Regions from separate parts of the Mus musculus genome. Here regions 1 and 3 are each reported to be linked to region 2. Evidence: microRNA targets listed by miRTarBase, many of them from high-throughput screens and not tested one by one. Region 2 holds a microRNA gene; each other region holds the end of a gene's coding sequence. Distances are from middle to middle.

The links. Region 2 holds the annotated microRNA mmu-let-7b-5p (UGAGGUAGUAGGUUGUGUGGUU, at 2,058-2,079, opposite strand). A microRNA usually pairs through its seed, bases 2 to 8, with sites in the 3' UTR of a target mRNA and lowers its output. Matches are read on the target gene's strand: a 7mer-m8 pairs with bases 2 to 8, a 7mer-A1 pairs with bases 2 to 7 and ends in A, and an 8mer does both.
Region 1: the mRNA of Zfp740 is a reported target of mmu-let-7b-5p. Seed matches in the 3' UTR shown: 7mer-m8 at 5,235-5,241.
Region 3: the mRNA of Slc25a18 is a reported target of mmu-let-7b-5p. Seed matches in the 3' UTR shown: 8mer at 723-730.

What each region holds. Positions count from the first base shown.
Region 1 is chr15:102,211,538-102,218,726 of GRCm38, reverse strand. Zfp740 (zinc finger protein 740) reads right to left here. Exons shown (of 8, transcript NM_001289691.1): 8 at 3,117-6,131. The coding sequence ends at 6,042. Itgb7 (integrin beta 7) reads left to right here. Exons shown (of 15, transcript NM_013566.2): 10 at 37-230; 11 at 730-953; 12 at 1,261-1,480; 13 at 1,630-1,835; 14 at 2,095-2,255; 15 at 2,460-2,732. The coding sequence ends at 2,567. Among named protein-coding and RNA genes, the nearest start is that of Csad, 10 kb to the right of the region's middle.
Region 2 is chr15:85,701,961-85,709,403 of GRCm38, reverse strand. Mirlet7b (microRNA let7b) reads right to left here and starts at 2,085; the gene lies at 2,001-2,085. Lncppara (long noncoding RNA near Ppara) reads right to left here and starts at 5,631. Exons shown (of 2, transcript NR_110483.1): 1 at 5,114-5,631; 2 at 1,880-2,850. It overlaps Mirlet7c-2 (microRNA let7c-2), which reads right to left and starts at 2,801; the gene lies at 2,707-2,801. It overlaps Gm34622 (a long non-coding RNA gene), which reads left to right. Exons shown (of 3, transcript XR_384306.3): 3 at 1-533.
Region 3 is chr6:120,793,027-120,800,215 of GRCm38, forward strand. Slc25a18 (solute carrier family 25 (mitochondrial carrier), member 18) reads left to right here. Exons shown (of 10, transcript NM_001081048.2): 10 at 476-956. The coding sequence ends at 617. It overlaps Atp6v1e1 (ATPase, H+ transporting, lysosomal V1 subunit E1), which reads right to left. Exons shown (of 9, transcript NM_007510.3): 8 at 4,851-4,938; 9 at 2,218-2,738. The coding sequence ends at 2,676. Among named protein-coding and RNA genes, the nearest start is that of Slc25a18, 23 kb to the left of the region's middle.

The DNA of each region.
Region 1 (7,189 bases), 17 Mb from region 2:
GGTGTGTACAGCTTTGTCTGGCCCTCCTGCCTTCAGGTGGATTTCTGGGTCACTCTTCAAGCTACTCACTGCCTCCCAGAAGCCCACGTCCTACGACTCTGGGCTCTTGGCTTCTCAGAGGAGTTAACTGTGGAGCTGCACACAGTGTGCGACTGTAACTGTGGTGATGCCCAGCCTCACGCTCCCTACTGCAGTGATGGACAGGGGGACCTTCAGTGCGGGATATGCAGGTGAGGGTTTTATGAACTCTGCTTTCTATCCTCCTGGAGTCACCTAGGTATCTCAGGAATCTACTTGAATGTCATACCCCAAAGCTTCCCATATATGCTAAGGCCTTCGCCTTGACCTGAATCCCCCTCCCCACCCTGACCCTTGGTACACTTCTATCTGAGTTTGTTTCAGCTGCTCTGTCTCCTTCTCCCTTGAGAACATGACCTTAGTGCAATGGTTCTCAACCTTCCTAACACTGCAACCCTTCAATACAGTTCATGCTTTAGTGACCCCAAACCATAAAATTATTTTCATTGCTACTTTATAACAGTAATTTTGTTACTGTTATGAATTGTAAATATCTCTGTTTTCCCATGGTCTTAGGGGACCCCTGTGAAAGGGCCACTTGACTCCCAAAGGGTCACAACCCACAGGTCGAAAACTGCCGGCCTAGGATATCTTGAGAGACAGGTCAGAGGTAATCAAACTCTGACCCATCTCTCTGCTTTCCCTTCCCAGCTGTGCCCCTGGCCGTCTTGGTCAGCTGTGTGAATGCTCTGAGGCTGACCTGTCCTCCCCAGATTTGGAATCTGGTTGCCGGGCCCCAAACGGGACAGGGCCCCTATGCAGCGGGAAGGGTCGATGCCAATGTGGACGCTGCAGCTGCAGTGGGCAGAGCTCTGGGCGTCTGTGCGAGTGTGATGATGCCAGCTGTGAGCGACATGAGGGCATCCTCTGTGGAGGTACCTAGAGCCTTTGGGAGGAGGGAGAAGGAAGGAGAGCAGGGAGGGGTAGGAGGGGGAGTAAGGAGGAAGGAGAGAGAGGAGGAGGGAGGGGGAGAAGGGAGTAGGAAGGTGAGAAAAGAGGGGGGAACAAGAGGGAGGCGGAGGAGGAGGGTTTTCTAGGGCACTTACAACTCTGAGAGCAAATTTCAAAGACTATAGTATTGAGCCAGAGGATGTGCCTGGCACAGCTGACACAGACTGTGGAGGCATACTGTGCCAACTGTGTGTGAGAATGGTGGTCACCCTCTGCACGGTTCTTCCCTAGGCTTTGGCCACTGCCAGTGTGGAGTATGTCACTGTCACGCCAACCACACCGGCAGAGCTTGCGAGTGCAGCAAGAGTGTAGACAGCTGTGTCAGTCCTGAAGGAGGGCTCTGCAGTGGGCACGGATACTGCAAATGCAACCGTTGCCAGTGCCTGGATGGCTACTACGGGGCTCTGTGTGACCAGTGCCTAGGCTGCAAGTCACCATGTGAGCAGTACAGGTGAGGCCTCTCGCCCTTTACCTCGGGATCTGGGGCAGGGAGGCTTGCTGGGAATTCCTACCTGCCTGTTCTCCTTGAGGGTGTGTGGTGAGGGCTGGTGGGTAACAGCTGCCCAGATGTGAATCCACTGACTGGCATTCACCGGACAGGGATTGTGCAGAGTGCGGGGCATTTGGTACCGGTCCCCTGGCAGCCAACTGTAGTGTGGTCTGTGCTGACGTGAATGTGACCTTGACCTTGGCCCCTAACTTGGATGATGGCTGGTGCAAAGAAAGGACAATAGACAACCAGCTGTTCTTCTTCCTGGTGGAGCATGCAGCCAGCGGGATCGTACTGAGAGTGAGACCCCAAGAGAGTAAGTGGGCAGAGACACCATGTATATGATAAGTGGAGCTTACCAGGCAGGACCTCAGAACTGGGGATGTGAAAAAGATAAGGGTAATGGGTTTGAAACAGTCACCAACCTAGGGCAAAGGCAGAGATGAGATGAAGGCCCTAGGAGGGAGGACAACCTTGGGCTCTGCTGGGTCCCGTTCTCAATGACAGGGCTGGCTGGGGAGGCTGGACATCCTTTGGGTAGCTGTGGGTCAGCCCTTAAACCTTGGCCCCACCAGAGGGAGTGGATCACACCCGTGCCATCATACTGGGCTGCACAGGGGGCATCGTGGCAGTGGGACTAGGGCTGGTTCTGGCTTACCGGCTCTCTGTGGAAATCTACGACCGACGGGAGTACAGGCGCTTTGAGAAGGAGCAGCAGCAACTCAACTGGAAGCAGGTGAGGCCAGCGACTGCTGCCACAGGCTGGGCTTTCCTGGTGACGTCTCTTAACTTTCTGTATCCCTAACACATAACCAGCTCTAAAGCTTCCCCGTGCAAGTCCCTCCCTCGGCATAACCAGGCCTCGGAGATCTGGCCTCGTGGGGCAGGTAGTGGGGAGAGCCTGATAGTTTTCCTTACTGTGTGCAATGTTTTCCCACAGGACAACAATCCTCTCTACAAAAGTGCGATCACAACCACTGTCAACCCCCGCTTCCAAGGGACAAACGGTCGGTCGCCATCCCTCTCTCTGACCAGGGAAGCAGACTGACTTAGGATTCTTGTCTTGGAGGACAGTGGAGATAGAAGGGCAGGGCAGCGTCTGTCAGGCAAAGATGCTGCCACCGCTGAGATTTTTCAGAGTGACCTTCAGAGGGCAGCAGCCATTCCCACCACACGAAGGGCTGGTCCTTCCATAATAAAGCTTTGCCCCAGACTTTGAGCCTCTACTTTACTTCACTCCGGGACAAAACCAGAAACAAACAACAAACCAGACTATGTAGGCCTCTCACCTGAGCCAGTGGCAGAGCCTTGGAAGCCAGAGGCACCACCTTCGAAGGGACCCTGCCTAGCAGGAGTCAGCCCTGATTATGTCTGACTGTTGAGAGTCCCCTCCCTTTTTTTTTTTTTTTTTTTTTTTTTTTTAGCATCAATGACTTTTGCCTCTACCTGATGCTTCCCTCTGGAGAAAAGAAGTCTTAACGGGGCCCGTCGACTCTGCTGCAAGCCGTGGGGTCCTGAGGGAGGAAAACCACCCCACTGAGACCACTCTGGCCTTTGGAGAAAAAGCTTCCCCAACAAATCAAGTCTTCTCAAAGAGGACATGGAATGTAGAAAAGCGCCATCCTTTTTATTTAAATATCCTAAATATGTCACGAAGGAACATACACTGCACTTTAATGGTAAAAAGATACAAGTTTATAACATCTTATAAAAACTACATTAAAAGTAATCTTGTCCATTTGATAGTTCCCCTCCCCCATAGCAAAATAAGTATATTTAAAAAAAAATGGAGCACGGTAGGAGGGGAATTGAAGATAAAAGCCCAGGGCCACAGCAGGGGCAGAAGGAACCTGGGGAGAGGGCTCAAAGTGTGGTCACCCCACTTCTCTAACCCTCTATGTCAAGCCATGAAGTACAATCAGTAGCTAAATGACAAGAGGCTGTCAGGGACGGATGGGAAGGGCAGGCACCAGCAAGGGTGGGATGGGACGGCCTGGTGCAGGAGTCCATCCAAGGACCGGTATTACTCTCCCTACCAAACCCACATCCACATTCTGATGTCTGAGCACCCACCTTCTCATTTCCCCTTCTACACACACCTGAGACATCTGTCCAGTGCTAACAACCCACCCCAGCAGAGGGGGGCATCAGGCTCAGGAGCCTTTGCAGCTGTCTGTGCATTCCCCCAGGGTAGAGATGTGGCTTCTGCCCAGGCTCTTGGCTGTTGTATTACTCTCCACCCCAGAGCCTGTCTGTCCTTACCCACTGCCAGCTTCTGAGCCTCTCACACCTGGCCTTGGCAGTGTGGTTCTGGGTGGGCTGTCTGTACACATCCAGTTCTCTCTCACTTCTCTCAGCTCCCACCTAGGCAGAACGCCACTGTCTGCAGGGCCTGCTCTGACCCAGGAAACACATTCATACTTGCAGAGGCACAGGCCACTCTGCCAACTTTCAGCACGAACAGATCATCTACGAGTGGCAGGGAGGGATTCCACTTTCAAAAGCATTTCTGGGAGGATATCTTTCTCAGCGTATCCTCTTTCCCAGTGACAGAAAAATCCCAGCCCAGCAGAACCCTCTAACAGCAAAGGGTCTGTGCATCACGAACATGGATGCCCAGGGGCCACACGGCGGACGAAGGTCAGAGGCGCAGGCTTTACAGCACGTTAGAGGGACAGCAGGGAGCCAGAACACACGGCAGGCTGTCCTCTTCAGACCTCCTCTCAGGTGCTATCAGAGGAAAACTGAAGGCTGAGACATTCTCCCTTCTCCCCTTAAGTTGTGGTGGACCATCTCCCAATACACTGGAAGAGGTCTTAAGGTAGGTTGCTGCCTGGCTCTCATTTGCAAGTCAAAACTTCTTCCTGGAGGCGGCCAGCTCAGATTCCTACCCACAGCTGGAGTTGTGTGCTCAGGTGTAACCCAAAGATTACACCTGAAGTAGGCCTCAGGGGTCCTGGAGTGCTCAATGAAACCCCAAGGTCTCCCTTAAGAATCCTTTCTTTAGCAGAAGTTATCTCACTTTAGAAAGTACATGTTCAGAAGCCCTGGCTTAGAAACACTCTGATCAGTACACGGTTAAATCAACCTAACAACAATGAGAAAAAACCCTCAACATTCTTCTGAAACAAGCCCCTCTGTTCCCCTGTTCTCAGCAAGAACAAGGGAGGCAGACGTCCTTCAGGTCTGGGTGGGAAGGCTGCCCTACGTTTTTCTGTCCTCCAAGTTGGTGGCCGAATGAATTTCAGTCAACAATTTTCACCCCTTCCAAGCAAAGAAACACAAGCATTCACAAATCAGACACACACACTAATCCAATCACCTTTCCAGGGGTAGACAAGATAGAAGGGTGTTATAACAGAGTAAGGTCAAGAATAAAGCAGACATTAGGTGTCTTCCTGCAATCCTTCCTCTGAAGCACCCCCCCCCCCCCACTCTGCAGGGATGCTATCAGGAGGGAGCCAAGGTCGGTTCTCTGAGACTGAAGACCAGACCAGACCAGACCTCCATCTCCTCTACTTGAACAGGCAGAGGATTCTGACAGGGAGAGGGCTCCATCACACAAGTCCCATAAGGACTGTCCCAATTTCTGTTTTTCTCATAGTTAACAAAACTTTGGACTATCCTTGTTCTAAGAGGACACAAAAGGACAGCATACTCTGATACCCACAACCCCCTGCTCAACTGTGCCTGGGTTCTAGAGTCAAGGACAAGCGAGGTAGCCACAAACCACAACCAAGACCAACTTCCCAGAAAAAAGAGCCAAATGGGCTACGGAACCCAAGTCCTCCACAAGGCACTTGAGCTGATCCCATCAGGCCCCAGTGCCACACAAACCATGGGAACACCCGTGACACAACACCGCTCTTCTTGAGGAGATAAGAAAAGGTATGCCTACGCTTCTTGTCCAGCCCACGTCTGTCCTTCCCAGTTTCTCCTTTTGTCTTCACAGTGTATAAGAAGTCCAAGGAAGCCCAGCTGCCAGCCCCCTTCCTATTTGCTTTCAAATAGGCGGGCTGTGGAACACCGAGGGACTGTGGTGACAGACATGGCCAGGCCAGCCACAGTCCTTGATGTGCTTCAGGACTGTCCCCTCCACATTACCTGTATCCCCGGTTTACCTGTTTAAATTGCTTTTGGATAAACAAAAACAAAAGCAGAACCAACAAAAACCCCTCCCCGGTCCTTTCCATTTTAGCTGCCAGTTCCAGTCCAAGGTTGTGGGAACATTTCAGTCTTGGTCCTGCACCTTTGAGTCCCCACCTCATCTCAGCTGAGGTTCAAGGACCAGCTCCCTTGCCCAAGAATGCTGCAGGTGTCCCTGGGATACTCATAGCCTCAGACTGGTTACAGAGTTGGGGCTTTGGAGCCGATGTCCTCAGACGCTCTTCTGCTAACCTGGGGCTGGTCCTCTAGGAAGGGGGACAGGTTCAGAGGGAGTGGTGGTGGGACCGTCAGAACACAGGGCTATGCTCTTCCAGAGACTCTCCTCAGCACTCCCACCACCTAGGGCCCCTTGTGCCTATAGAGAAAACTGCCCTTCAGAAGTCTTGGACTGGCATCCTTGGCACATCCGTTTGTGTCTGAGTAATCGGTCTGTCCGAGAAAAACACTGTGGAGAGAGAGGATTAAGTCACTAAGAGAAACTCAGTCTCATGTTAGTAAGTTCCTGTCTCAGAGGGGACATACACTGTGTTACTGTTCCCTTAGCATCTACACAGCAGAAACACGCAGTGGATAGGAAAGCTAAAGCTTGTTTGTGCTAGGCATTGTGTCAAATGCCTGTGATCCCAGAACTCAGGAGGCAGAGATAGGTACGTAACTGTGAGTTTAAAGCTAGCCTGGTCTACATAATGAGTTGTATGTAATACAGCCAGGGATAGTTAGAGAGACTCTGCCTCAAATAAACAAACAAACAAAAAGAACCAAACTCTGGTTCAAGGGGCCGGGGATGCAGCTCAGTCGGCAGACTGCTTGCCATACATACACAGGAAGCCCCGGACTTGACCCCCACCTCCAACCCCACCCCTAACTCTATAAACTGAGCATGGTGGCATACACCTGCAATCCCAGCACCTGGGAGCTGAAGGCAGGAAGAGCAGAAGTTCAAGGTCATCCTTGGCTACGTGGCAAGCTGGAAGCCGCTGTGAATTACTTAAGACCCTATCTTAACAATGGGAGGGAGGCTTGCTGACAGGAGCCTGAAATAGCTGTCTCCTGAGAGGCTCTGCCAGTGCTTGACGAATACAGAGGTGGATGTTCACAGCCACCCATTGGACTGAGCATAGGATCCCCAATGGAGGAGCTAGAGAAAGTACCCAAGGAGCTGAAGGAGTCTGCAGCCCCATAGGAGGAACAACAATATAAACTAGGCAGTACCCCCAGAGCTCTCTGGGACTAAACCATCAACCAAAGAGCACACATGGTGGGACTCATGGCTCCAGCTGCATATGTAGCATAGGATGGCCTTGTGGGACATCAATGGGAGGAGAGGCCCTTTGTCCTAGGAAGGCTCTATGCCCCAGTGTGGGGGAATGCCAGGGCCAGGAAGGGGAGTGGGTGGGTTGGTGAGCAGGGGTAGGGGGTACGGGGTGGGGGGAGGGTGTTTTTCCGGAGGGGAAACCAGGGAAGGGGGATAACATTTGATATGTAAATAAAGAAAATATCCAA
Region 2 (7,443 bases):
TTGTAGGTTGTGGAAGTGGGGAAGTGAGCACAGGGTCTCCCTGGGCTGAACCACTCCCCTGCACCCCAGAACTTCCACTCTGCTGAATGCTGTGTCGTACCCACCCTGATCCCCACATGCACCCCTATCTCTAGTGACAGTCAGTTGTCAGAGAAGAGCCAACAGAATGTAGAGAGGGGCACAGGACATGTCAGAGGTCATCTTCCAGGAAGCTACCCTGACTGCAGAGCACCTCAGAGCTCTCGGATGCTCCCACGCTACCCCACTGGGTGGTCGCCGTGTGTCCTGTCCTGTGTCCCTAGTACTTGAACTCTGCAGAGCAGAGGCCATCTCCCACTGCAGCATAGGAGCCAGGAGGTGGGTGTGACTGGCCAGCATGTCATTCTGCTTGCACAGACACAGCTGGCTGTGGTAGCCAGAGGGTGGGCCTGTGTGAGGGTGAAGGGTTGGGGGCTGGGCTGTGCAGAAGAGTATGGAAGGTAGGCTGTGTGATGGTTTGTATATGCTTGGTCCAGGGAGTGGCACTATTAGGAGGTGTGGCCTTGTTAGGGGAAGTATGTCATTGTGGATATGGGTTTTAAGACCCTCACTCTAGCTCCCTGGAAGCCAGTCTTCTCCTGTTTGCCTTCGGAACAAGATGTAGAACTCTCAGCTCTTCCTATGTCATGGTATTCTTCTGCCATGATGATAATGGACTGAGCCTCTGAACCTGTAAGCCAGCCCCAATTAAATGTTGTCCTTATAGGAGTTGCCTTGGTCATGGCATCTGCTCACAGCAGTAAAACCTTAACTAATTCAGCAAGGGATGAAGAGTGGGCAAAGCTCTGCACAAGGGAGGGGAGGAAGGACTACTCCTCTAGGGCTGGAGGCATAGCAAGAGTCAACAGACTTCACCACTGACTACAGGATAAAGAGAGGTAAAAAGGTGACAATTTATCATCCACCATCGATGTTCCAAAGGACAGCAGGGAGGAGACAATGGGGCATGCCACGGAGTGTCTGAGTGTCCACTCCTGTGTCTCTAGCTGCCAACTCCTATACAGCCATCAAGACCCAGCTCAGATAGCCCCTACTTTGGGAAGCCATCCCTGTTGCTCTCAGAGAGTACTCAGAGAGTCCCTCTGGGTACTCTCAACCCTGGGGCTAGCACAGTATCAGATCTTTGGAAATGGCTGGCTAAGTTTGAGAGGTCTGGTAGCTGAGGGTGGATATAGAGGGGCTCTAGGGGTGTTTGGTCTGCCTAGGTGCGTCAATGGAGGTGTGTGGATATGCAGAGTTGAGGCAGATTGGGTTCAGGACGGGAGCTGGGACTCGGGGGATTCATTATGGGGAGAAGGCCAGGACATCAGGGTCAAGGTATCCACCCACGAGGGAGGCCTTTGGTGTCTGGTCAGGTAAGACTAGGACTTTACCTTCCTAAGCTAACACTAGCTGAGGGCTGACCCTCACCCCACTACCACCACCTGAATGAAGGCTTGGGGTCCCTGGAAGAAGGGTATATGACCATTTGGCCCAAGATTAGAAAGCTACATCCACAGCCGTCCCAATACTGTCCCAAGGGAGGCAGGCACGAAGGGACAATAGGCCAGGAATTTCTCAGATCTGGTTAGGACCACAGGCTGAGGGACACTGGAAGCCAGTACTGTGCTCTGAGACTTGGAGTCATAGGGTCTGTTGTTCCACTCATGTGGAGGGGCTTGGGTGTCCAGGGCTTGGGCCACTAAGGGGCACATGGAAGATGAGGGGAGGGTACTGTTCACTACCCAGAGCAGCTCTTGCTGGCAATGTTTCATGCATGCAAACGTGTCAATGTGTGGTTGGCGATCTCATGTCCTCTACGGCCAGTCTCCGTATTTCCAAAATGACCAAAGACCAGTTGTAAGTTCATGACAGAACATCCTTTATTTATACCCAGGTCCCACGTCATAGCCCCCACCCAATCTGTGGCTCCATTTAGCTTGCTGAGCGGGGGCCTCCATGTAGCTGTGTCCCTGGGCGCCTCAGGGAAGGCAGTAGGTTGTATAGTTATCTTCGGAGGGGCAACATCACTGCCCTGAAACCACACAACCTACTACCTCACCCTGCGGTGTCCGTGTTCTGGAGGAGGCCCAGCCGCTCCCCACCCACCCTGGCCACAGGCCACTAGAGCCATAGGGCACAGGGCGGGGTGGGGGAGGGGGAAGTGGAGACAGAGGTTCAGTGAGAAAGGCCTGTGCCTACCAAACAGATTGAGGAAGCCTCTGGTGTCTGAACCCATTGCCCCAGGGACAGGGGACAGTGGCCTACACGGTCCATCTGCAGGCTGTACTCATGGGTGTGCTAAGAATGGCTCCTTTTCAATTTCTTCTCGGAAGAGACGCTTGCTCGTCAGAGGCCTGACCCTGCGCTGGAAAGCCTGGGCAACTCTGGAACATAGTTGAAGGTCTAGTCCAGACCCTCTTTTCATGGAGACCTGTGAGCACAGGTCTGATATGGGGCCAGGGGCAGGAAGGCCCCTTCAGTGTGGGCCAGGGAGAGAAGGTGCCCTGAAAATGCTGTCTGTTTTCATCGCTATGCCCCAACCCTTATACAGATGAGTAACAGCCCAGAGAGGTCAAGGGACTATCCAAGGTCTCTGTCAGGCTCTTTTTGCATGGTAGTTATCACCCCCCTGTCCCTCCCTCAGTCTCCCCAGCCAGGGCCGCCGTTGTATCCACTGCAGATATTGCGGCCACTTCAGGAAAGACAGTAGATTGTATAGTTACCGCAGAGCGGGGCAGAGCCCAAAACCATACAACCTACTACCTCACCCCAAAGGCCGTCAGTCAGTCTTGGCGTAGAGCTGGATGTTGTGGCTTCTTGAGGTCCCTCCTAGAGGAAGAAGGAGAGCTGGGGACATGGTGAGCCCCACCCCCCACCCCCGACACAGGCCGCTCAGTGCTGAGGGTATTAATAGACTGGGATTTTCTCAAAATGGGCCAGGGACATTTAAACAAAATCACAGAGAGAGTAAGGGGAGACGGGGAGACGGGGAAACGGGGAGAAGAGAGAGAAAGCACGGGGCACTGAGCACAGGAATGGCCACAATGGGGGAAGGGTGTCATTTGTTAAAGGCCACCAAGGTCCAGGGTGCTTCCAGTGTCCACCTGGCTGAGACCCAGCCTCTGTCCACTCAACTCTAGCGTAGTAGAATCACCAGGACTCCTGCTAAGTAGTAGCCTTGGGCATGTACCCTCTTCCCCTTAGGCAGGAAGAGCCCCCCCCTCGTGGGCTCTGGTTCTGTCCCTCCCTCTTCTCAGGGTGGCCTGAGCTGACCTTGCTGGGGGAGGCTCAAAACAGTCTTTCCTTGTGGGAGGCAGCCTAACTCCCCATGGTGGCCAGCCGGGCGCAAGTGCAGACCCTGGCTGGACACTCATGGCCAGTCTGTCCCTAACGACTAGCACTTCCAGAGGCCAGCAGAGATCGCTGAAGAAACTGAGGCTCAGTCTCTGGTCTCAGGTAGCTCTGCTCTCAGAAGGGAAAAAGACCTGCTTCTTTCAGGCCTCAGACCGGTTTGCCCAGCATGTGGAGGGAAGCCCTGTGCCCAGACCTAGGAAGCCAGGCAGCTTTTGCTCTCTGCATGAGCCCTAGCGTCTACTGTCACGCCTCCTTTCCTCTCTGCCAAGGGTCAAGGGACAAGTCCAAAACTCCTGGGTCAAAATGAAGCCGTTAGGTCTAAGTCCACATTGTGGCCCCAGATCCGGAGTCTATGGGGCAGAGGAGCTTAGGAACAAGGTTCCCAGAGCGCTGGTGTGGCCTGGCCCGTGGTGGGCAGGCCTGTGATGATAGGAAACACTAATCTTCCAAGCCCCAGAAGGAAATCTGAGCCACTGGGGTGCCATCCCCTGCCTCAAGCCTGGACCCTTTCACTAACAGGCAGGTCAAATACCCTCAAGGATGGTCCCTGCAGAGGCAGCAAGGCAGAAGAGGCGTGGGAAGAGAGTGGTGAAGGGCCCCTTTGGTGATCCTATCTATGATGGGTGGCCCAGGTGAGAAGGCTGAGGGGTGTCCCACACTGCTTAGCCTCTCTGTAGGCTTGACTGGCCATGGTTAATCTCGTCGGTTCTTAGGCTGTGCCCGGATGTGGTGGAATAGCTAGAGACCACATTGGTCATCTCCATCTGAGCCCAGCACCTCCCTCCCCCTCTCCGCCCCCAGAAGCACTTTGAAGGAGGAAAGAGGTCAGACATCAACCCCAGGTCTCTCAACACTTCGGGTTCTGCCCTTGGCTGTCAGGATACAAGTACGTGGGCAGGTCTGGCTGGAAGGTCGAGACTGGCCCCTCTGACTCTGGGCACCATCATGCATTTCCGTGGGGTCCTTTTGGCTGGCCCCTGGGGATTCTCAGCCACTCTACTTAGCAGCAGGAGGCCGGTGTATGCCACTGTGTCAGCCCCAAAGCGCCTTTTCTGCACTTGGTGAGCCTCCCTGAATCTGGGCTTCATTGCAACAGAAGCCTTGCAGAGCCCAAGCTATGGTAGAGAAACACCAGGACACAAGCACCCTAGTTCTAGCAAGGACAGTGGGCCACCACGCACTGTGCCTTAGCCCAACACGGGAACAGATGTGCCTCTGTCTCCCTCATCTGGCCTTTCTCTAGGCAAGACCTTCTGGCAGATCCTCCATTGATACCAAGTGGCCTGGCCTGGGGGAAGCAGGATCACACTGGGGGGATTAAGTGATGGTGCCCGGGGTACAGAGAAAAGAGAGGGACCTCATGCTGAGGTCCCCAGAGGTCTCTCAGGGCTCGGTGACCTTGTCCTCAGGTTGGGAGGCTACGTCTCTTCCACTTGGAGCTGGTGATGAATGGAACTGCACCTCTGTTAAGCCATGCCCAGTCTAAGTAGGCCGATACGGGGTCAAAAGTCACCATATCATATCATGGGTAGATGTGTCATCTGGGGTAGATTGCTGGGGGGTGGGGTGGGGCACAATACTGAGGGCAGGGGTTGGGGGGAGCACAAAGCCTCTAGGTAAAGACATCTAAGCTGAGGGCAGGTCCTGGAGCACTGGCAGGGATGTGCCTCTGACCCTAGCCTTCCTTACTCTCAAGTCTCCCTACTTTCCAGAGGAAGGACATTGGGGCCCTACTTACCACAGGGAAGCCATAGGCATGCAGAACTTCCTGCTTGGTTCCACTTCCTGACCACCTTGGGGGTTAGAAACAAAAGCAATGATCATCAACTTCAGAAGGGAGAAAGCCTGGCCCCTGGTGGCCTCCCCTGGCCACTCCTTAAGATCCTATAGCACAATGGCATTTTCATCCAGTCTGCCTTTTGCCTGGTGACACTTTGCATGCAAAGCCTTGGATGGAACGGCCTCTAAGCTCAGCCCTGTGCTGGGCATGTGGGTCAGAGACTATGCTCCAACTTCACCCATGGTGGGCAAGCGTGTTTTTGTGGGTGGCCAGTGGCCCGCGTGCAACTTCCCTAGGACATAGGGCAAATGGGGCTTGAACTCTCCCAAAGAGCAGAGACCCAGAGAAAGGGCTCACTGGACTACAGACTCACACCATGAATCAAGTCACTATCCTACCTCCCTCGGGCCCAAATCATCATGGCAGAGCCATTAGTAAGACAGAAGGAAGGCCAAGCAGGGACATGGGGACAGTGAGGGAGAAGCCTGGCCAGCTGAAGGGCTCTGGAGCTGAGCCTGGGGTACAGAATATGGAGACAAGGATCTGCCCACTTCTGTCCGTCAAGCCGGAGTGCTTTGTTGCAGGCCTTGTTAACACCCCCCTCCCCCAACCACGACTCAAGGATGGGAAGATGAGCCCATTGGCTACTGAGGGTCTGGTGAGGACACACAGGGTGGGAAAGCCCCCTCCCTGACTACCAGCCTCGCATGGGCTCCCAAGACAGCCGAGCTATCTGTCACGCTGACACCCTTTCTCGGATCCTTCCCACTGCGCCCATCAGCCCTGCCCCCAACCCACAAAGCCTCGAAATGCCCTGGGCAAGCCTCCTCTGCCCTCCTTGGCCATCTCCCAGGTCCTTCCCACCTCCTGGCTTTTGCTCTGGTCTGTCCGTCTGCCAGGAACCGCTGACCTGTTTTTCCTGTTTCTTTCCACAAGGCTCCTGCTCCCCGGGGGGGGGGGGGGGGGCAGGGGGGTGCTGGCTCTGCTCTGGTGAGGCTGACCCACAGGTGCCTGTCTTAGGCCGATTCCTCTCACAGTGCCTCTCCACACTCTGGTGGCAGGCATGGCTATCATGGTCTCTTCAGTTCCAGGGCAGCTCTACTCTACCTGTGGGGGACTTACGCTGGTTCCACAAGACTTCAGGGAGGGTCACCCTTACTGGATCTCTGGTCATCTCTAGAGCCATTTGTGAAGGAGAAGGAAAAGGCCCAGTTCCATATTTGGGAAGCGTTCCGATGTGTCAAGCCCACCTGTGAAACAGCCTGGCCTCGGGCCTGGGGCTTGGGACCCACAGAAATGACTCCTTTCTCAAGGGGTAACAAGGAAGGGGTCCTGAAAGAGACTGCAGGGACCCAGTGGGGACAGGCTGGAGGAGGGCCAGTGGCGGGGCGGGCAGGGAGTGAGCAGTCAGCAGACGCCCTGCCATCTGCCAGCCGCCACCTCTCAGTCCTGTCCCAGTCCTGCAGTGTCTGCCTGGGGGAGGAGCCAGGCTGGCCAGGACAGGTGTGCCAAAGGCCTAGGCAGGCAGGTGGCCCTTTCAGGGCTGGGCGGATGTCTGGAGGGAGAGAGGCAGACAGACAGTGTCACCCTGAAGTCACCTCAGGCTTGGCTTGGGGCCACCAAGAGCCAGACCCCCCCCCACAGTAACCCCCCCTCTCTTGGCTTCCCTGATTAGGTTTCTCCCATAAAGCGGCCAGTGTCTCTGCTCAGTAGGCCGTGCCAACAGCGAGTCTGGGAACGGCGGGAGGGGGTTGGCATCCGGCTGGGCAGAAGGCGGATCTCCTTGTGAACAAGGCCCATAAAGTTAAAAAGATGCACGCTCACTGGGTAGGCATGGGTCGACATGCCAGGGGGCAGGCCATGCCCAGTGGGCACCATCTTGGATCTAGCTAGGACAGGCATGTTAGGGGGTGAACAAGAATCTCATTCATCAAGACAAGTAACTTTGTGCGAGGTTTAGAGAAATGGTTAATGCAAAAGCCCCCTAGACACTACAAAGATCACATCTGAGTGAAGATGACCTGGGCTTTGCGGAGTCTCCCCTGGCTTCAGACTGGAACGCTCTGGCAGGTGTGTGGCAGAGTGCTGGACAGGCTTGGGTGCCCTCTTCCAAGCACGGACCAGTTACGCAGGGTCACACCCAGAGCTGGCATTGATATGCCTTCCACCTGGCTCTTGTAGCCTTACACACCTCATGATGGTCCCATGCTGGATCCGATCTGCACTCGGCTCTGTTTAGCTCAGGGTCTGCAGTGCTCTGGTGGCTTGCCTACCCCTCAATCTAGGGT
Region 3 (7,189 bases), not on the chromosome of region 2:
TTCCTGGCAGAACTTGCCACTGCCTTGGAATGTGTTGGCCCTCGATTCTCAGAGAATGCTACAGAGAATGGGAGCTTCCGATTCTCCCATGAGTCTCTGCTGCTCCCCACTCCTCCCACCAGATGGCAGACAAATCTGGGATTGCTAAATAGCTTCCTCTCTCACAATACAGTCTAAAGGTGGCGCGCAGATACTTGGCCAAATGGGATCTAACGGCTCCAGTCTTTGGCCTAGCACTTGAGAGGGCCACAGGTCAGCCTGAACTAGTGAGCTTTTGTCTCAAAGTGTGGAGACGCTGTGGACTTGATGCCTCAGAGCTTGTAATCCTATAAGCCTAGCACTCAGGAGATTGAGGGTAGCCCAGGGAGAGCCTGGGCTACACCTAGAGACCTTCTCCCCAAATCCAACAACAGAAAGTCCTGAGTAAATGTGTGCGTAGCCTTCACCTACCAAGCTCTCCTTTCTTCCTTCACAGGAAGCTCTGGACACAGGAGGGGCCAGCAGCCTTCATGAAAGGAGCAGGCTGCCGTGCCCTGGTCATAGCCCCCCTCTTTGGGATCGCCCAGGGCGTCTACTTCATTGGCATCGGAGAGCGCATCTTGAAGTGCTTTGAGTAATCTATGTGTCACTTCTTGCTGTCACCTCTGGCCCTAGGGAACTAGGTGGCACTGCTGGAAGTATAAGATGCTGGCTCTGACGTACGTGGTCTCTAACCTGTAGTGCTACCTCAGAAGAAATGACCCATTTTACTAAGCGAGTAGAGCCTTCATCTCCTTTATGAAAACTAAACTTTCTGAACCAGAGATGTTCGGAAGCCCCAACCTCTTATGTACTATGGCAGGACCGTGTGCAGTAAGACAGAAGGGCTCTTCCACACTAACATCCCCACTGCAGGCAAGTGTGGCACAGAATCGTCCTGTGAGGGTTTAGCGTCAATCCTAACCTTGCCGCCCTAACAGATCAGAAGTGCACCTGTGCCCTCGCGGGCATCAGCAATAGTCTGAGAGCCTGAATGAACATTCTGGCCACCTCAGCAGCGGTCCTGCCCCAGATACTCACCCTGAAGTATGGGCCCAGATCCCTTCCAATAGATGCTTGTGGGACATGATCTGAAATAAAGCTGGTTAAATCCTTGTCCTGTAATCAGCATAGCAGATGACTGTCATTCTGCAGAGTCAAGCTGTGCCTTCTTGGGCCCCACAGACAGTTCATTACTGTCTTCCAACTGCTGTTCTAGAGTGGAGAGTGGTTGGGGGGAAATTGTACACTGAAAGAGTTCAGCTTTTAAAAAATAATTATTTACTAATTTACATGTCTGTGTATCTGTAACCCCCAAGAGAGCATTGGACCTCCTAAAGCTGTGTTACAGGTGGTAGTGAGCTGCCAGACACGGCACTAAGAACTGAATTCAGGTCCTCCGGAAGAGCAGCAGGTGCTGGCTCCAGTTCCTACCCTTGACTCTCACCTCTTTCTACCTTTCATGGCCATGTCAACACCAAGAAACCCAATCTCATGGCCCTCAATTCATTTCTCCGAAGCCACACAAATGATGTTAGGCCCTAAGAAAACAGGAATGAGAGCTGGGTACACAGGTCAGTTAGCAAAGGATTCCACCCCCAACACCATGGTGGCCCGTGCCTATAGTCCCAGTCCTTAGTAGCTGAGGACGGGAGGATAGGAAACATGAAGGTCATAACATCAGTGAGCACATTCTAGGCCAGCCTACACTGTATGCAACCCTGCCAAACTACAAAACTGAAAAGAACCTCCATTAGTCCCACCTAACGTAAAACTTGGGTCTGGGGGAGTACGCCGATGTACATGCAGATAATCCATCTGAAAACGGCCTTATTCTCTCTAAGACAAGATAGGTAAAACCCCAAAGATGCACAGGCCACAGGTTGCGGGGCATGGCTCAGCGGTGCAGCATCTGCTTCCCTATGAGGCTCTGGCACCCACTGCTAACACACACACACACACACACACACACACACACACACACACACACACACACACAAAGCTGTCCAGCCTCCAGGACAGGCAGGTTAATGTACGGCAGGGATTTGGGATAGCTCCTCTCTGGATCTTCCTGTTGCCCAGGCTGCCCCCAAACAATCCTCCCACCACAGCTAGGGCTACAGGTGTGGGCTACCGTGCCCAGTGGAACTTACTCTCAAATCACAAACTCGGTGCCTTACATAAGGAACAACAACTAAATCCACATAAGCCCTCTGTTTTAATAAATAAAGAATATTTGTGGCTTAGATTTTAAATCACATTTACAGAGAAGGAAGACTAGACCTAAACAGTAACAGCGAAGGTAGTGTTCCTGGAGGAATGTGAGTCCCACATGCACTTTATGCCCAAAGAGCAGGGACAGCATGCACAACTCACTCTAGACTAGAGCAGGACAGGGAAAGAATGGGTCCTGGGTGAGGCCGTGCAGCACATCTGACCCTCCCGTCCTGCTGCAAACCCAGTGAACAGCTGTGGCCTCAGATGAGCTGGGGCTGGGTTCTTGCCCACACCAAGTGGCCCTGCTGTTGACACTGAGCCGAGGGCATTAGCTGTAGAGGGTGTCCACTGATTACCAGTATTAGAACAGAAAGAGGAAGCCACACAGATAATCTGCTTCTCCAGGAGAACAGCCGTGGGGGAACTGCTCCTCCTGAAGCTCAGTCCAGAAACTTCCTATTGGCATTTGCACCAAACAAGGCTCCACGGACTTCTGGCATCATCTGTAAAGAAGTCAGTAAATCAGGACCTCAGTCAGGGAAGTTGCAGACAATATTAACACCATGTGGGGAAAGGACATTGCTAAGCACATCAGACCTGTCCTATCTGCTGCACTGTGCCAGACAGTTAAGCAGTCAGACTATGCTCACAAAAGGGGAAAGACCTGAAGTCATTACTGTACTCAGTCTGTGACACTGAGTGTGTGAACCCCTTCCAGGACTGGCTGCAAAGGGCACTTAGATGGAGTCTGTTGATGTCTTGACAGAGAGTTACAAGGATGAGTGTGACCCCTAAGAGTAACCACATTGGCTTTTGTGGGGTCTCAGGCACTCCAATGGTCTGGAAGTTTGATAAAAGCCAGCATTGCTCAGGATCTTGTGAAAGTAGTTCCCACTCTGGCAGAAGGGATATAGGTTGTGTGTCAAAGCCCCTGCAGGCCTCCAGGCTCCCTCAGTATCCCAAGTAGCTGTTACACATTTCAAACCCACACTGCCATCCTAGCCTTTCTCAGCTCCCAGACAGCCATCTGTTCCCTTCTGCCCCACTTTTCTCACAGATCTCTTCTGTCCTCCCACACTGTACAGTCTCCCTTGATAGCTCCATGGGAACTTCTCACCCACTGTGCTAGCCCTCACCATGTCCAGTCTACGTCTTTCTCCTTCTGTTCTGGACTCTTCCAGATGCCTCTGGCTGTTCTCGTTTCTACAACAAAAGCCTTAACCATTATCATGGAAGGGTCATGTCAGCAGTTTCTTTACTGTGCTCCATCAAATACAGCTTTAGGTACTGGTAAAGAACTGAATGTGTGCGAGAGAGGCCAGAGGACAACCACAAATGTCATTCCTTTGGAGCAATCCACTTTTTACTGGTCTGGGGCTTGCATGACTCAGCTAGGGTAGATGGCCAACGAGCCCAAAGAATCCTCCTGCATCTGCTTCCCCATGGCTGGAACTAGAAACATGTCACCATGCCTGACTTTATGTGGCTTCTTTCTCTCTCTCCTTCCTTCCTTCCTTTTCTATATATTTATATAAACTTTACATCCTAATCACAGCCCCCCGCCCCCGTCCTACCCTTACAGATCCCTCCTCCTATTGCCCTCTCCCCTTCTCTTTGGAGAACAGGAACCCCATCCTGGAACAGCTAGTCCCATGAGGACTAGGCACATCCTCTCCCACTGAGACCTAACCAGGCAGTCCAGGTAGAGGAAAGGGGTCCAATGGCAGGGAACAGAGACCAAGACAGCCAGTCCCCTCTCCACTTGTTAGGGGACTCACATGGAGACCAAGCTGCACATTTGTCCAGCTCCTGCATGCTCCCTGGTTGGTGGCCACACTCTGGCCCTCATGGTCTCAGGTTAGTTGACTCTGTGGGTCGTCTTGTGGTGTTCTTGACCCCTCCAGCTTGCTCACCCCTACCCCACTCTCCCCCAAGACTCCCTGAGCTCCTGCTGATGTTTACCTGTGAGTCTCTGCATCTGCTGCTGATGGATGAAGCCTCCCAGGAGACCTCAGCTCCTCAAGCTTATGAGGCAAGAACTTTACTCACTGAGCTATTTATCTCTCATCTCCGCTAACTCCCCATCTGCAGGACTGGCTAGCACAGAGGGCTAACTAGCTCTAGGCCTCCTGAAGATGATGCACAAGTGCTCTGGCTACAAGACACGCACTTTCATTTCAGCATACTGCACTCTCTGGGAGACAGGGTCCCAACCTGCAGCTCAGACCGGCCTCACAGTAACCCTCCATCAGTCTCCCAATCAGCTACCACATCTGGCTAACCTACTCTGTATTTGTATGTTTGTTTTTGTTCTTTCTAGACAGGGTTTCTCTGTGTAGCCCTGGCTGTCCTGAAACTCACTCTGTAGACCAGGCTGGCCTCGAACTCACAGAGATCTGCCTGTCTCTAGGCATGCACCACCACACCCAGTTGAAACTATACTCCTAAATAAGGGATTAAGAAAGTCAACAGAAACTGTTAACCCATGTCTGGAAGATGACCAGCACTTTAGGCTTGTATCCTTGGGTTCAGTGTACAAATGTGGAGACATGAAGATCAGCGTTGAGTTCTCTGCAGTAAGTGCCAGCCGACACGTAACCAGAGTCTGCACTCACCTGCTGGGCTATCAGGTCCAGCCGGCTTTCCAGGGTGTTGGAAACCTTTATCTTGCGATCCCCATTATAGATCTCAACGCCACCAGCTCTACAGAGAACACAGGAAGTAATGTCACGGGCTTGAGATGTATGTCCATGACACGACACTTACCCGACTCCTACCCTCAGCACAGGACAGCCTCGGCATGTAAAGTGTACAGACAGGGCAACACTAATCCCACAGCGTCAGAGAGAACTCACAGTGCTCGCACACAGGGTACAGTGACTGTTGAGCACAGCCATGGGGCTGCAGCGTGCTGTTCAATTCTAGCCAGCCCTTCCCAGCAAGGTAGAAACCAGCTTCAATTCTCTTAGCTATGAGTCACCAGGCAGCCTATGGAGAGGCGGCACCTGCATGCTGCTGACAAAGGAAGGACAGTGACTCAACATGCCTGGCTGCCTAGTGCCTGCCTCTAGCCACCCTCACGTGTCACCTCACTCCTCAAAGCCTCTCAGCACTCAAGAGACATACACAGGTCAACTGTATTTCAAGGAACCATGGGGAACAAGATTCACCTACAAATGACCAGTTCTGTCAATTACCAAGATAAATGGACTATCAGACAAGGACCCAGATACTACTTGAGACAACATTTCACTAGGTAGCCCAGGCTAGCCTAGGACTTACCATCTAAAATCCTCCTGCTTCTGTGGAGATTACAGGCACGTGCCATTATGCACAGGTGGGAAAGGATTGGTACTTCCTCCTTGGGATGTTCGGTGGCTGATGGCCACAGCTGTACCAATCTCCCCCTTTCTGTGCCTCCCTCTTTTTTTCCAGTCTCCATAGCACTAAAGATGTTGCTCTGCTGAGATCCTGACTCCTGGGTGTTTTGTGGGGGAATGTGAGGACAGGAAGGGAGAGAATAAGCAAAAATGACCTCAGCAGGCACTGAGTGTCAGCTTTCTTCTCTTTCCTTCTGTGTTTTGAGACAGGGTCTCCCTGCATGGTTCAAACTGGCCTCAAACACTCTATCATCAATTGGAGCCAAGAGGCTGAGAGGTGATCAGCCTCCTGAGCAAGCACAGCACTCCTGATGAGCCTACAGCTTCCTAACTTCACAGCAACCTGAGTCTCGTGTACGAGATGTAGTAGATGAGGAAATGCACTCTGAGAAACCAAAAGGAGTAGTAACCACATTAAACAAATACCACTTAACCCAAAACAGTAAGCCTGCAATCTCTTAACTGTAATATTAAACCTCAAAAGGCTCTGAAAGCCACGCATCCTTCAGATAAGAACTGCCTGCCTCTTGTCATCTGGCAGAAACTAGCAGATCTTGACCTATTTATCTTGCATAGCATGAAAATTGCCAATTTTTGTTTTCTGTTTTCAAACAAGGTGTAGTTATGTTGCCCAGGTTGGCAGCTACACCGCTGGTAGGATGTGCATCTCCACGTTGCTGGCCATGAACTCCTGACAATCTTCTGCTACAGCATCCCAAGGACTGTGATTACAGGAAGGTGCCCCATGCCTAGCTTTTCCTGTGTGTCAATTGGGAAATGTTAGTATACCTGGCCATGACAGTGCTGTCTTAGACTTGAAGATACTACACAATGGGAAGCATCGGCACTTTGTCTGTCTTTGGTGCTGATGATGGGACTTGATCTCACACCTGCTATGCACGCTCTCAACTACCGAGCTGCACCCCAGCCCACGTCATTGCTATTCTGCTCTCTGAAATTCAATACATGTCTGATGACAAGGTCCCAGGAGGATCAGCCAGCCCTGTACCTGATGTCTCTGCACTGTCTGCTCAGTTTCCACAGCACATCGGCACCACTGAGCACGCCTAGACATGATCTCATTTCAAATGCTTCAATTTACTCAAGTCAGCTGGGCATGGTGAGCCATGCCTGTGATCCCAGCCTCCTGGCTGCTGTGAACAAAACCAACCTAGTCTACAGAATGAAATCCTGTCTCATCCTCTTACCACCAGAATAACAAAAACAAAAAAACCAAAACTGAAGCCAAGGCTCAAAGAGACAAAATAAGTGTTGCATCACCACTCAGACAGCCCTCAGCCGAGTAAAGCAAACCCACATCTGACTCACGCTTTCATGACATCCTGGGTTCTACCTGGTGTAGCAAGAAATAAAACAAACCCTCAAACCCCAAATCTATTTTTGACGGCCAATGTTCGTTCTCAACCATGTCACAGCCCCAAGCCTCAGCTCTTTCCATTTAGCTCAAGGTTTCCCAAGACCCTGCTCCAGGCTAGGCAATGGTAGCAATGTGATGTCAGACAGAAAGCTCTGGGCACCAACACTAATTTCCAACAGCGAACAGGATTATGTTC